Linked DNA regions of Caenorhabditis elegans. The protein of the gene in region 1 purifies or fractionates together with the protein of each later gene. This does not show direct contact. Each region holds a gene or a part of one and is shown on either strand. Other genes may lie near its edges.

What was found.
Region 2: the proteins of adr-2 (region 1) and adr-1 purify together in Caenorhabditis elegans (affinity purification with western blotting; 2 studies listed by BioGRID). This does not show direct contact.

The regions. Positions count from the first base shown.
Region 1 is NC_003281.10:7,230,536-7,234,878, reverse strand, and holds adr-2 (Double-stranded RNA-specific adenosine deaminase adr-2), read left to right. Parts: upstream 1-1,996; coding exon 1,997-2,406; intron 2,407-2,459; coding exon 2,460-2,799; intron 2,800-2,851; coding exon 2,852-3,085; intron 3,086-3,129; coding exon 3,130-3,459; intron 3,460-3,532; coding exon 3,533-3,706; 3' UTR 3,707-3,840; downstream 3,841-4,343. Other genes in the region: ndus-8 (putative NADH dehydrogenase [ubiquinone] iron-sulfur protein 8, mitochondrial), read left to right, coding at 698-757, 806-950, 1,024-1,111, 1,332-1,677; R151.10 (uncharacterized protein), read left to right, coding at 3,948-4,080, 4,127-4,343. UniProt on the Caenorhabditis elegans protein: Catalyzes the hydrolytic deamination of adenosine to inosine in double-stranded RNA (dsRNA) referred to as A-to-I RNA editing. Acts primarily on non-coding regions of protein-coding genes including introns and untranslated regions (UTR).
Region 2 is NC_003279.8:7,771,343-7,778,245, forward strand, and holds adr-1 (A-to-I RNA editing regulator adr-1), read left to right. Parts: upstream 1-2,075; 5' UTR 2,076-2,095; coding exon 2,096-2,170; intron 2,171-2,670; coding exon 2,671-2,739; intron 2,740-2,790; coding exon 2,791-2,928; coding exon of another isoform or gene 2,929-2,949; intron 2,950-3,055; coding exon 3,056-3,253; intron 3,254-3,300; coding exon 3,301-3,401; intron 3,402-3,452; coding exon 3,453-3,699; intron 3,700-3,741; coding exon 3,742-3,810; intron 3,811-3,853; coding exon 3,854-4,391; intron 4,392-4,440; coding exon 4,441-4,702; intron 4,703-4,774; coding exon 4,775-5,044; intron 5,045-5,091; coding exon 5,092-5,418; intron 5,419-5,469; coding exon 5,470-5,989; coding exon of another isoform or gene 5,990-6,046; coding exon 6,047-6,127; 3' UTR 6,128-6,313; downstream 6,314-6,903. Other genes in the region: nsf-1 (Vesicle-fusing ATPase), read right to left, coding at 640-703, 816-866.

The DNA.
Region 1 (4,343 bases):
CGGGCTCTTCACGACGGCGTCAGCACATTAAATTTCCCCAATTTATACCGTTCGTGGCCCTCATATCGTTCAAGTTGGGCGCCTGGCGCCCAACTGCCCCTAATTTTCTACTTTTGTCACGACCTGTACCACACGCAAAGCCCATAAATTCTGTAACTCAATTTCCTCCTTTTCTCGTACCTCATTTCTCTCGAACGGAGCTAGGAACAAGGGAAAACCTTTTCTCGGGGGAGCGCAGCGACCCGAGAATATATATTTATGAGAAGTAAATTGAGAAACAAATATTCGGAAGCAAACTTGAGAACAGTTTTCCTAATTTCTCAAGAAACAAAGCATTAAAGTAAAATTATTGTGACAATAAGCGTGCTTAGAAACACTAAACGATAAAATTATGTTATTTGACAAATATTTAAACATAATAACAATATAAAATATATAAATTGAAAGGCTAAAAGTATTTAAATAGATATTTGGGAATTAAACTTTGTTGGAACGCAGAAGTTGCGCCCTTGGTTCATCGTTGGCGCGTTTCTCGTGCACCTGCAGGACATGTTTGCGTCTTTCTCGCTTTTTTAATATTTTTTCGTGTTCAATTTTATATTTATCAATGTTTTTCTATTATAAACACTTCATTCCAATTAAATTAAATGTAGTCTATCAATAATACGTTTTTCAGTAACTTAACCACGCTGTCAAAATGGCGATGAAAAGTGTGGCAGTGCTCACAAAAGGCATGTTTGGAAGAATTCCGGCTCAAGTGAGATTTTCTCATTCAAATATACGTTTCAAATAATCAATTATTTAGCTTGCCGTCAGCAGTGTTCCTTCCAACACAATTCAAAAGAGATCCAACTACAAATTCGTTGGTATGCCCAATGAAACCGATGGAACACTGGCTGGAGATTTGAATTACGGGCTTCACAATGTTTTCTTCACCGAACTTTTCAGAGGTAATTTTAAACTAAATTTGAATCAAAATTATTTTGAAGTATACTGTGTGAAGGAAAAATGTCAATTTTTCAGGTTTCGGAGTGATGCTTGGTCACGTATTCATGGAGCCAGCTACTATCAACTATCCCTTCGAAAAGGGACCACTCAGTTCAAGATTCAGGTACAGAAATTAAAAATTGAAATTAAATCATAAAGCATTTGTTATAATCAGCTTGGAAGAAAATAAGCATATTTTGGTTGTATTTTAATAGTTTTCAAAAAACTGAACAAACTTGCACCTTCACACGACACATATTCGAAAATTCTTTAATTAAAAATATTAATTATTTAGTTAATTTAAAAAAAAACAAAAATTATTAACAAAAAAATCAGTATTTTAGAGGAGAACACGCTCTTCGTCGATACCCGTCTGGTGAAGAAAGATGCATTGCTTGCAAGCTTTGCGAAGCCATTTGCCCAGCTCAAGCTATCACGATCGAGGCCGAAACAAGACCTGACGGAAGTCGCCGTACCACTAGATACGATATCGATATGACCAAGTGCATCTATTGTGGATTATGCCAGGAAGCTTGCCCAGTCGATGCAATTGTCGAGGGCCCGAACTTCGAATATTCGACTGAAACTCACGAAGAACTCCTCTATAATAAGGAGAAGCTCTTGTTGAATGGTGATCGCTGGGAGCCTGAGCTCGCTTCCAATCTTCAAGCCGAATATCTTTATCGTTAAGATAATACGAATTGTGGGAAATGAGAAGAGAACATTTTAAAATACCTGATTTTTTCGTAGCTTTTTCGCTTTTCCGTTTTCTGTTGTCAGATGATTTATTTTTAATTTTGAGGTTTTAGTATTTGTTCCCCTTTTCTGATAACTTCCGAATTGTAGATGAAAAACAAAATATGTTATATACTTTTATGTTTTCTCTATGTTTTTCTTAAATATCGTTCACTAGTCGATGTTGCTCTATTGTTTTTTCGATATCTCAAGGTAAAACTGTTACACATTTCCTCATGTGGACTTTTTGTTCCAAAAATTATTCGTAATTCAGATGTCCGTCGAAGAAGGTATGGAAGTTGAGTTAAAGTCAGAGAAAATGGATTTGGATGACAATATTCCCGACTTTGTGAAGGAAACTGTGGAAAGAAGCGGAAAGAATCCAATGTCATTATTCTCAGAGCTTTATGTTCATATGACAGGCAACACTCCAGTTTTTGATTTCTATAACAGAAACCAACCGAACGGATCCATGAAATTTATATGTGTTGTAATTTTAAATGGAGAACGAATCGAGGGAAATGTAAAATCCAAAAAGAAAGAGGCAAAGGTGTCGTGCTCATTGAAAGGACTGGAAGTCGTGCTCAAGCATGTTAGCGAATACGTTGTGCCTGCTGTCAAATTTGAGGAGAAAACCACATTTTTCGAGATGCTCAGAGAACATACATACGCGAAATTTTATGAGTCAGTGGAAAAAATAATTCATAGTGAATGTATCCCTTTTATTATCATTTTAGACTTTGTAAGAACAACGCCTTAATCTATGGATTCGAAAAAGTGATCGCTTCTGTTTTCCTGAAAATCAATGGAAACCTCCAAATCATTGCTCTCTCCACTGGAAACAAGGGATTACGCGGAGACAAAATTGTAAACGATGGAACAGCTCTCATAGATTGTCATGCTGAAATTCTCGCAAGAAGAGGCCTTCTGAGATTTTTGTATTCCGAAGTTCTAAAGTTCTCTACAGAGCCACCCAATTCAATTTTTACAAAAGGAAAGAACGCATTGGTGCTGAAGCCAGGAATTTCTTTCCATTTATTCATAAACACCGCACCATGTGGAGTTGCGAGAATAGATGTAACTTTTCAAGTATTAATTTTTGTAAATTCTTCATTTGAATTATTTTCAGAAAAAGCTAAAACCCGGAACATCAGATGACCTTCAAAATTCTTCTCGTCTTCGATTCAAAATTGATAAAGGTATGGGCACAGTGCTCGGTGGTGCTTCTGAGTTTGAAGCTCCACAAACATTTGATGGAATCATGATGGGAGAACGAATGAGGACAATGTCTTGCTCTGATAAATTGCTTCGAGCAAATGTACTGGGTGTCCAAGGAGCAATATTATCACATTTCATCGATCCAGTTAGTTTAACCTGATTAGTATAACATGAGATCTTGATTTTCAGATCTATTACTCGTCAATCGCCGTTGCCGAGTTGAACAATGCAGATCGTCTCCGTAAAGCAGTTTACAGCAGAGCAGCCACCTTCAAACCTCCAGCTCCATTCCATGTTCAAGACGTGGAAATCGGAGAGTGTCAAGTGGAAGATACTGAGCAATCAACTTCTGCAGCAGCACGATCCACGATTAGTTCGATGAATTGGAACTTGGCTGATGGAAATACAGAAGTTGTACGAACATCGGATGGAATGGTTCATGATAAGGATATGAGCGGGGCTGACATCACGACTCCATCCAGATTGTGTAAAAAAAATATGGCAGAACTGATGATTACTGTAAGCTGGGGGAAAATAAAAATAATTTTCTTGATGTTTTGAGTGTGAAACTCAACAATTCCTTCTATTTCAGATCTGCACGTTGACAAAGACTTCTGTGGATTATCCAATCTCATACGAAGAACTCAAAGCTGGATCTCAAGAATACGCTGCTGCAAAAAAGTCGTTCATTACCTGGCTGCGACAGAAGGATCTCGGAATTTGGCAACGAAAGCCACGAGAATTTCAAATGTTTACTATAAATTAATCAATGCAATTTTACCTTTATTGTATCAAAAGTTCAATGTGGTTCCACTTTTAAAAATCTCATGCAGCATCGTGTATTCATTCCATTTTAGCTGTTAACTCTTAATTTCTGCATTAATTAATTGTTAATCTTTTATTTTTTGGACTTACAATTTTCAGTGATTCGAGTTACTTATCTCGGAGTTGAATATTATTTAAGGAAACGAAAACTGGAATAAATATGTTTTTATAGAAATTTCCAGATGCCTGCATCAGTGACCCATGTGATTTTCGATTTTGACGGTCTTCTCGTCGACACAGAATCTGCATACACGGAAGCGAATATGGAGCTTTTGAGAAAATATGGACACGTTTTCACAATGGATTTGAAGAGAAGTGAGAAGAAATATCAGAAATATTTTTATTTTAATATAAATTTCAGGGCAAATGGGAAAACGCCATGATGAATCGATCCGATGGCTAATCAACGAACTGAAAATCGGCGATCTTGTGACACCGGAAGAGTATTCACGTCAATACGATGAACTTCTCATCGAAATGTTCAAAAGGAGTCCTGCGATGCCTGGAGCTGAGAAACTGGTTCGTCACCTTCTTCATACCGGAGTTCCAGTTGCATTGTGTACTGGATCGTGTAGTCG
Region 2 (6,903 bases), on another chromosome or scaffold:
CAGAATAACGTGGGAATAATGGCATCAAAACAGAAAACAAAAAGCGGAGGACCGAAAAGAGGCCGAAAGAAGTAAATGGAGAGAAAACGGAAATGAGAAGCAAAAAAATACGAAGAGATGGGGAAGATGCTAACAAAAACTGCAGAACGAGAGGAGCAGTGCGTTGAAAACAAGAAAAATACGAAGAAGAAGAAGACGTTGTTTCGGCACTCGGAGGCTTTTTCCTGCGCAAATCGATGTAGGACTTTGGGCATGAAAAGACACGAAGAGTTGGAGAAGAGGACAGACGGATGGGGGAGATACGTGAAAAAAGAGCCGGAAAATGGGAGGGGAGGAAGTGAAAAGGGTGGACTTTTTGATGATGGAGAAAGAAGCAAACTAAGAAATGATGAGCAACTTTTGGTATTTCTCAAATATTCATGCAAGTAAACATTAAAATAATATGGAGTGGCTAGAACTGGAAAAAAATTAAGTCATGTCAAACCGTCATGAATAAAATTTTAACGAATTTAAAAATGTTAAATGTTCAAATAAAACCCTGATTTTAAGAAAATTCCAGTTCAAGTTCATCCATATTACTTATTAGTAAACGTTAGTTAAAAGTTTGAAAGCACAGTTCCCAATAAAACAAAACGAAACCGTGATTTGTCTCCAGTAGTGAGTCGTTTGCTGATTTCCGAAACCACGACATTGTAGAATATTCCTGAAAATTAACAATTTTGAAAGAGAATAAATACAGTCCTGATCTTCAATAAATAAAGAATTAAAAGAGAAACGATCAAACGAATAATGAGCATTGAAACACAATTATTTACCACGATTTTCCTAAAACAGCAACATGTGCTTAAACACGGGACTGGACTCATGAGAAAATGTCTGACTGAAAACTCGTCCAAGGACACGTTGCATATGAATTTCGCAACTAATAAATTGTAACTGGACAAATAATATGAACTTTAAAAAAAAAATAAAAAGAATTTATTATTTAGCAGCTGATGTGGTTTTACAAAAAATATTTTGACGAAATCAATATTTAAGCATCAGAAACTTTATATTTTTCGCATTTGTGATAAAAACAGCAGATTAGAAATATTAAATTGCAAATAAAATCTTAAAAACTCATGAAAATCCGGGAAACGTGTATTATGAGACCACTTCAATTTTTGAATTGTGTGAGTCGGGCGAAACAGAATTATGAAAAGTAGTTAAAATCCTTTAACACTATGTTTTAGAATATTTATAACAATTTAGCTGCTATTCTTTCTCACTTAAAATGTGAGCGAAGTTTTCGTTTTCGGCATTGAACGCATTTCTTTCAAACTTTATTCACAGATTCCGTGACGTGTCAGTAGAGCAAATGCGCTCCATGGAACTATCGACTTTTCGAATGCGACGCGTTCCGCGCTCAACGATTCGGCTCATTTTTTGCTGCGTTCTCGCTTATTATTTCGTTCCGCAATTGTAAATGTATCACTGAAATGTACAATTCGCTTAGTTTCTGTCAATTTCAATAGAAAAATAGTGTTATTCTCACAATGCAACAGCCCTTTTTGTTTCAAAACATTGAAAGCAATGTCAGTTTATGGGAAATTCAGTTAATCAATAATTATAGCATATTGAGAGGAGCATTATATCTCAGTCATAAGCCATTTTGTTCTTGACGTTTTATAATTTTCATTCCTTTTTAGTCTAGGATTTTTAGAATTAGAGGGCCTAAAATTATTTGCTTTTCTCTTCTGAATGTGTTTTTTGTTCTCAATGCTACACGAAGTCTTTCAACTAGCTATTTAGTTGCTTCTATTGCTTAAAAGAACAACTGAATAGTATGTTTATTTCCTACTCTCGGCATATTTCCTCTATATTGTAATGTATTTTGTGTCTACTTAAGAACGTGGAGTTTGTCATTATTCCCAATGCGGCATACTCTGTGATCTTACTGCTTCCCTCTTATTTCTCGTGTAATTTCATTGTCCGGTTCGAAATGTTTTTTTGTGCCGGGTAATGTCACGACTTTCAATAGTGTGAATCTTTTCTCGAAAACTTCATACGATTGCTAGTCATCATTTTTTCTGCAGGTAATTTATTTGACTACGAAATGGATCAAAATCCTAACTACAACTTCGGTTATGGACAGGCCTATGGCTCTGGCACTGATCACACCAGCGATTCCGTACGTTAACTCTAAACTTTTGTGGGTACTCGATTAGAGTTGGAGTGAAATCCAATACAAATTAAAACTCAAGTAGGATTCACTCCAGCTTTAAAGCAATTAAAAATATTGGAAGAACCCCAAATAGTTTGGCGTTGTCGTATGCATCGACAATTAATACATTTGTTGACGTTTACAGTGTCAATAAGTTCATCTGCCTAATACAAATGAACTTTTTCTCACTTTGCAATAATTAAGTTTTGTTATAGATGCATTTCTGGATGATTATTATAAATTAAAATTTATATCATCCAGGGTTGGATCCTCTCGGTGATATTTTCAAAAATTAGCTTAAAATTGTTTATTTCTGTATCTTAAATCGTATCAAATTAGCAAAACCTAAGGTTTGAGATCCTTCAGCTAAAAAACAATATCAAAAACTTTCTAATACAAAAAATCACTAAGCTGAATTATCTCAAAAGCTTAGAAAATTTTGCTTAATTAATTTTTCAATTTTCCAGACCAATAATTACAACTGGGCAAGTCAATGGAGCCAACCAGAGTCCGCTGCCTCGCTGGCTACCCACACGGTATGATAAAAACTAACAATTTCGGAAGAAAATACAATTATTTTTTTTCAGTTCCCACAATATGTCAGCCAACAACAGCAGCAGCAGCAACAACAGGCTCAACAACAAGCTCAGAATACTTATGCAGCCATGAACCCAATTTCAACATTCATGCAACAACAACAGAGAGCACAAACCTTCCCACAGAAGGTATATTTATTTTTAATTTAAAGAACAGCTCCAGTTGAAACTAATAGTTTATTTTTAATTGAAAGAACAGAAGCGTTTTCTAAAAATTATCACAATTTGGAATTTCTAATGTGAGAAACTGATACAGAAATACGGACAACAAGGCGGTGCTCCAAAACCATCTGCAATTCGTAACAACAATTTCGGTGCGTTTGGCGGAGGGCACGCTTTGAGTCAGGAGTGGGTGCAACCAATGTCGCAAAACCAAATGGGTGGCCCACAGGGAAATCGTTTTTTTAACAATCAAAAAGGCGGTCCATTCAACCAAAACAAACCAAATTGGAGGGTGGGAAATTATTTTTATTTTATATTGCAATAACGTTTTTATTTCAGCAAAATAAGCCCAAGGGTCCAGCTGCTCCCAAAAAGTTTGATTCGACTGGGAAAAGCCCAGCGATGTTGCTTCATGAGCTGTTCAAGGATGTTTCTGAAGAGTAAGTTATTGAATTTATTAGAAAGGCAATCAAATTATTGAACTTTTTCAGGTACACTGAGGTTGAGGGCGTTCCGAAAAAGTATTGCTGCACATTGAAAGTAAACGGACGCACTTTTCAAATGGAATCAGTCAACAAGAAAGCAGCGAAACAAAAATGTTCGGAACTTGTTGTTCGCGATCTTCGTCCGGATGTTCATGTAACACCATTTGAAGAAGGTGTAGCAGCAAAAGCAGCGGCTCCAGTGAAAAAGGAAATCGATGCCGCTTCTGGAAATGGGCAGAACAACAAGAGAAATGTACGTTCGAACTACAATTGGTTTTAATAAGTTTTATATTAGTTGCTTCAGGCTGATGCTATTTCAAATCAACCGACACCGAAAAAGGTCTCCGCTGTTAAGAAAGCAAAGGTAAAATTCAAATTTTCAAAAGCTGTACTTATAAATTCTCAAGCTCCAGTTGACACCTGTTGAATCTGCGCTTTCGTTGCTAGATCTAATGCAAAAAATAATTGCTGAGTCTGCCGAGAAGTATTCACCAGTTTTCGAAGCTTCGGAGGTTCCAAAAGATCCAGAGATTCCCGAAGTCGAAGTCAAAAAAGAAGAAGTGGATACAAATGGAGAAAACGTTGCCAATGAAAAGAAGAGTGGTTGGCGCAAAAATGAGACCATGCATAATGTCACTTTGAAATTCGTGGAGCAAAATAAACAATATACAAAGATGGGACCAAGTCGTGGAGTTTTGAAAGATATGGTCATTCGTGAAGCTCTTCGTGACTTGTTCAACGTGTCACATGCCGACATCACCACTGTTGCCCGTAGACATGCAAGTAATCGTCTTGGACACGATACGACAATCCTTCAATGTCTCAATACCATTTGCTCAATTTTAAATTGCACTCTTACTATTGAATGTGAGCCAGCAGAAGACAGACCACTTGGTATCGGAAGAGCATATTTCATGGCAAAATGCACAATTATTGATCACAATGGTATTTTTACTAGAATCTCAGATTTAGAACAGTTTTTCAATTTTTTCAGAGAATGATTTGAAATTTGAAGTCAAGTCCTCATCACTCGCTTCCAAAGCAATGGCCAAAGACTGGGTCGCGCAAGAAACACTAAAAAACTATTTTGCAATAGATCCATCTTCCTGTGTGAAAACAGATGCTGTCAGCAGTCAGGGACCGTGTGCTCTTCTCCACGCGATGCTCAACAAGCAGACGAAACAGAAGTGCAAGATTGCCTATGAATTCAAGGACAATGTACCTCCAGTTGCTGGACAGGCTACAACGACATTCTAGTAAGTGAAGTACAATTTCAGAATCCTTTTTTGAAAATATTTTATGAGGCTGTTTTAATTGAAAATTTTCAGTTGTGAATGCGTAATCGATGAAACCGATCGGTACATTGGCGTTGGTCGTTCGAAAAAACTGGCTAAAAGTGAAGCGGCAATGCAAGCTCTGAAGAAGCTTTTCAAAATTGACTATGATCCAGCCGGCAACTATCCACTTGCATTGACAAGTCGTGCTATGACCGAGTCAAAGGTTTCTCCATTATGCAGACATATCGCAGAATTTTGTAAGAGAGAATACCACCAGATGACTGAATACTATCAAATACCTCCCAGCAATTTGTTTGCTGCGTAAGTTTTCAAACATTATTTTCAAAAGAAATTTATTCAACTTTCAGTTTCCTATTGGTCAATGCTCAAGAAGAGAAGCGTGTTCTTGCAATGGGTTCATCTATACAATATATAGTCGAACCAGATACTCTCAGTGGAGCCAATGGAACATCTCTACTTCATTTGGATGCTATTATTCTTGCCCGCAGAGCAATGTTGAAGGCATTTATCCATGAACTTAGCACCGTTGATTCAGAATGTTCAATTTTCGAGAAAAAGGAAGAGGGAAAAGCTGCCTTAAAGCCGAATCTCCGGCTTGTTCTCTATTCCAACTACTCGCCACCATGCATTCATGCAGTCGATGATGCTGCAACTAAGAAGTTGTCATATGTAACGTGAGTTTAATAGAATTTTAGTTTCTGCAAAAACTATTTCACCATTTTCAGGCCAACAAATCTGACATGTGTACCAGACGATGTGCTTACCTACGAACAAATTAAGGAAACGAAGTCCCTTCGAGTTCATTGCACTGCGGATAAACTATTCAAATGGAACACTTTGGGAATTCAAGGCGCTCTCCTCTCCAATGTTCTTCATCCAATTTTCATTGATAACATCTTCTTCGGCTCAGAAGCTCCAGTCTCTGATGAATCACTCAGTTATGCTTTGCAAGGACGCCTTGGACCAAACGAAAATGAACGAGAGATCATTGTGGAGAGTATGCCTGTGCAAATGAGAATGCATATGGGCATATCTCATCTCTGGCACCGTGGAGTGGATTCTGTTGAAACTCTGGATTACAATACTGGACGCACTTCAAAGGGATCCCCATCGCGAGTTTGTAAAGCTGAAATCTTTGAGGCGTATCGTAAATTGAACGGAGTCGACCAGGCCGTTGTGAATTATGCGAAGGCGAAAGAGATGGCGTCTGAATACCAGTATGAGAAGAAAGTGTTCTATGAAAAGGTTGGTGTTTTATTTTCTTCTTTTCTTCGTCTTCTTCTTCATAATATTAATTTTCAGCTCGAGGCTGCGGGACTCGGAAAATGGCAAACAAAACCAGCTGAGCTTGTTGACTCCTTCACTCTTGCTGCTTTCGATTAATTACTCAATAATTCATAATTTAATTACCACCATTTCTTCGATCTTCGTTTTCTCTCTGCACCTTCTTTTTAACTATCTTTGAAGTGTATGATCTTCAAGCCATTGCCGCTTTAATGCGGTATTCTTTTGTTGTTTAATTTTTTAAATTTTTCTGACGCCAAAATAATTTATAAAGTATTGGTTAAAGCAAGTTTACAGTCTCATGTGAGAATGGTGGAGTTTGCATTTATTCAAATCCAAAACCAATTTGTGAATGTTCGAAAGTCTTTCGCGGTGAAAAATGTGAAAAGAAGCAGATATCTGTGTCTCTTTCCTCACATTATAAAGGACACTTTTTGGATTTTTCGAATGACATTTTGACAGTTGATATTCTAGAATTTAGTTGAGAATAAATTGGTAGAGGTTAGCAAATCGGAAGCTTGGAAAACAATTAAGAACCTATTTGGAAATGTTTCTGATACTCCGTTTGCAAATCATCCAAATAATATGGAAACATTCCCAATGACTGGTTATGTTAATCTTCATAATGTTGATATCATTTAAATTTGATTTCTATAAAAAATTTGAAGTAAATAAATATTTTCACAGCTTCATTGTGATTCATTGTGACAATTTTTAATGTACACAACAACTGAACCATTTCTTTATCAAAATTTTGTACCATTTTAATAATTTTTCCAGCTCTAAGAATTGAAATTTGCCCTGAACATTAAAAATGTAAACCTGCTGTAACATTTTAAAAGTTGTTATTTTTCTATTAAAAGTTCCTGCATTTT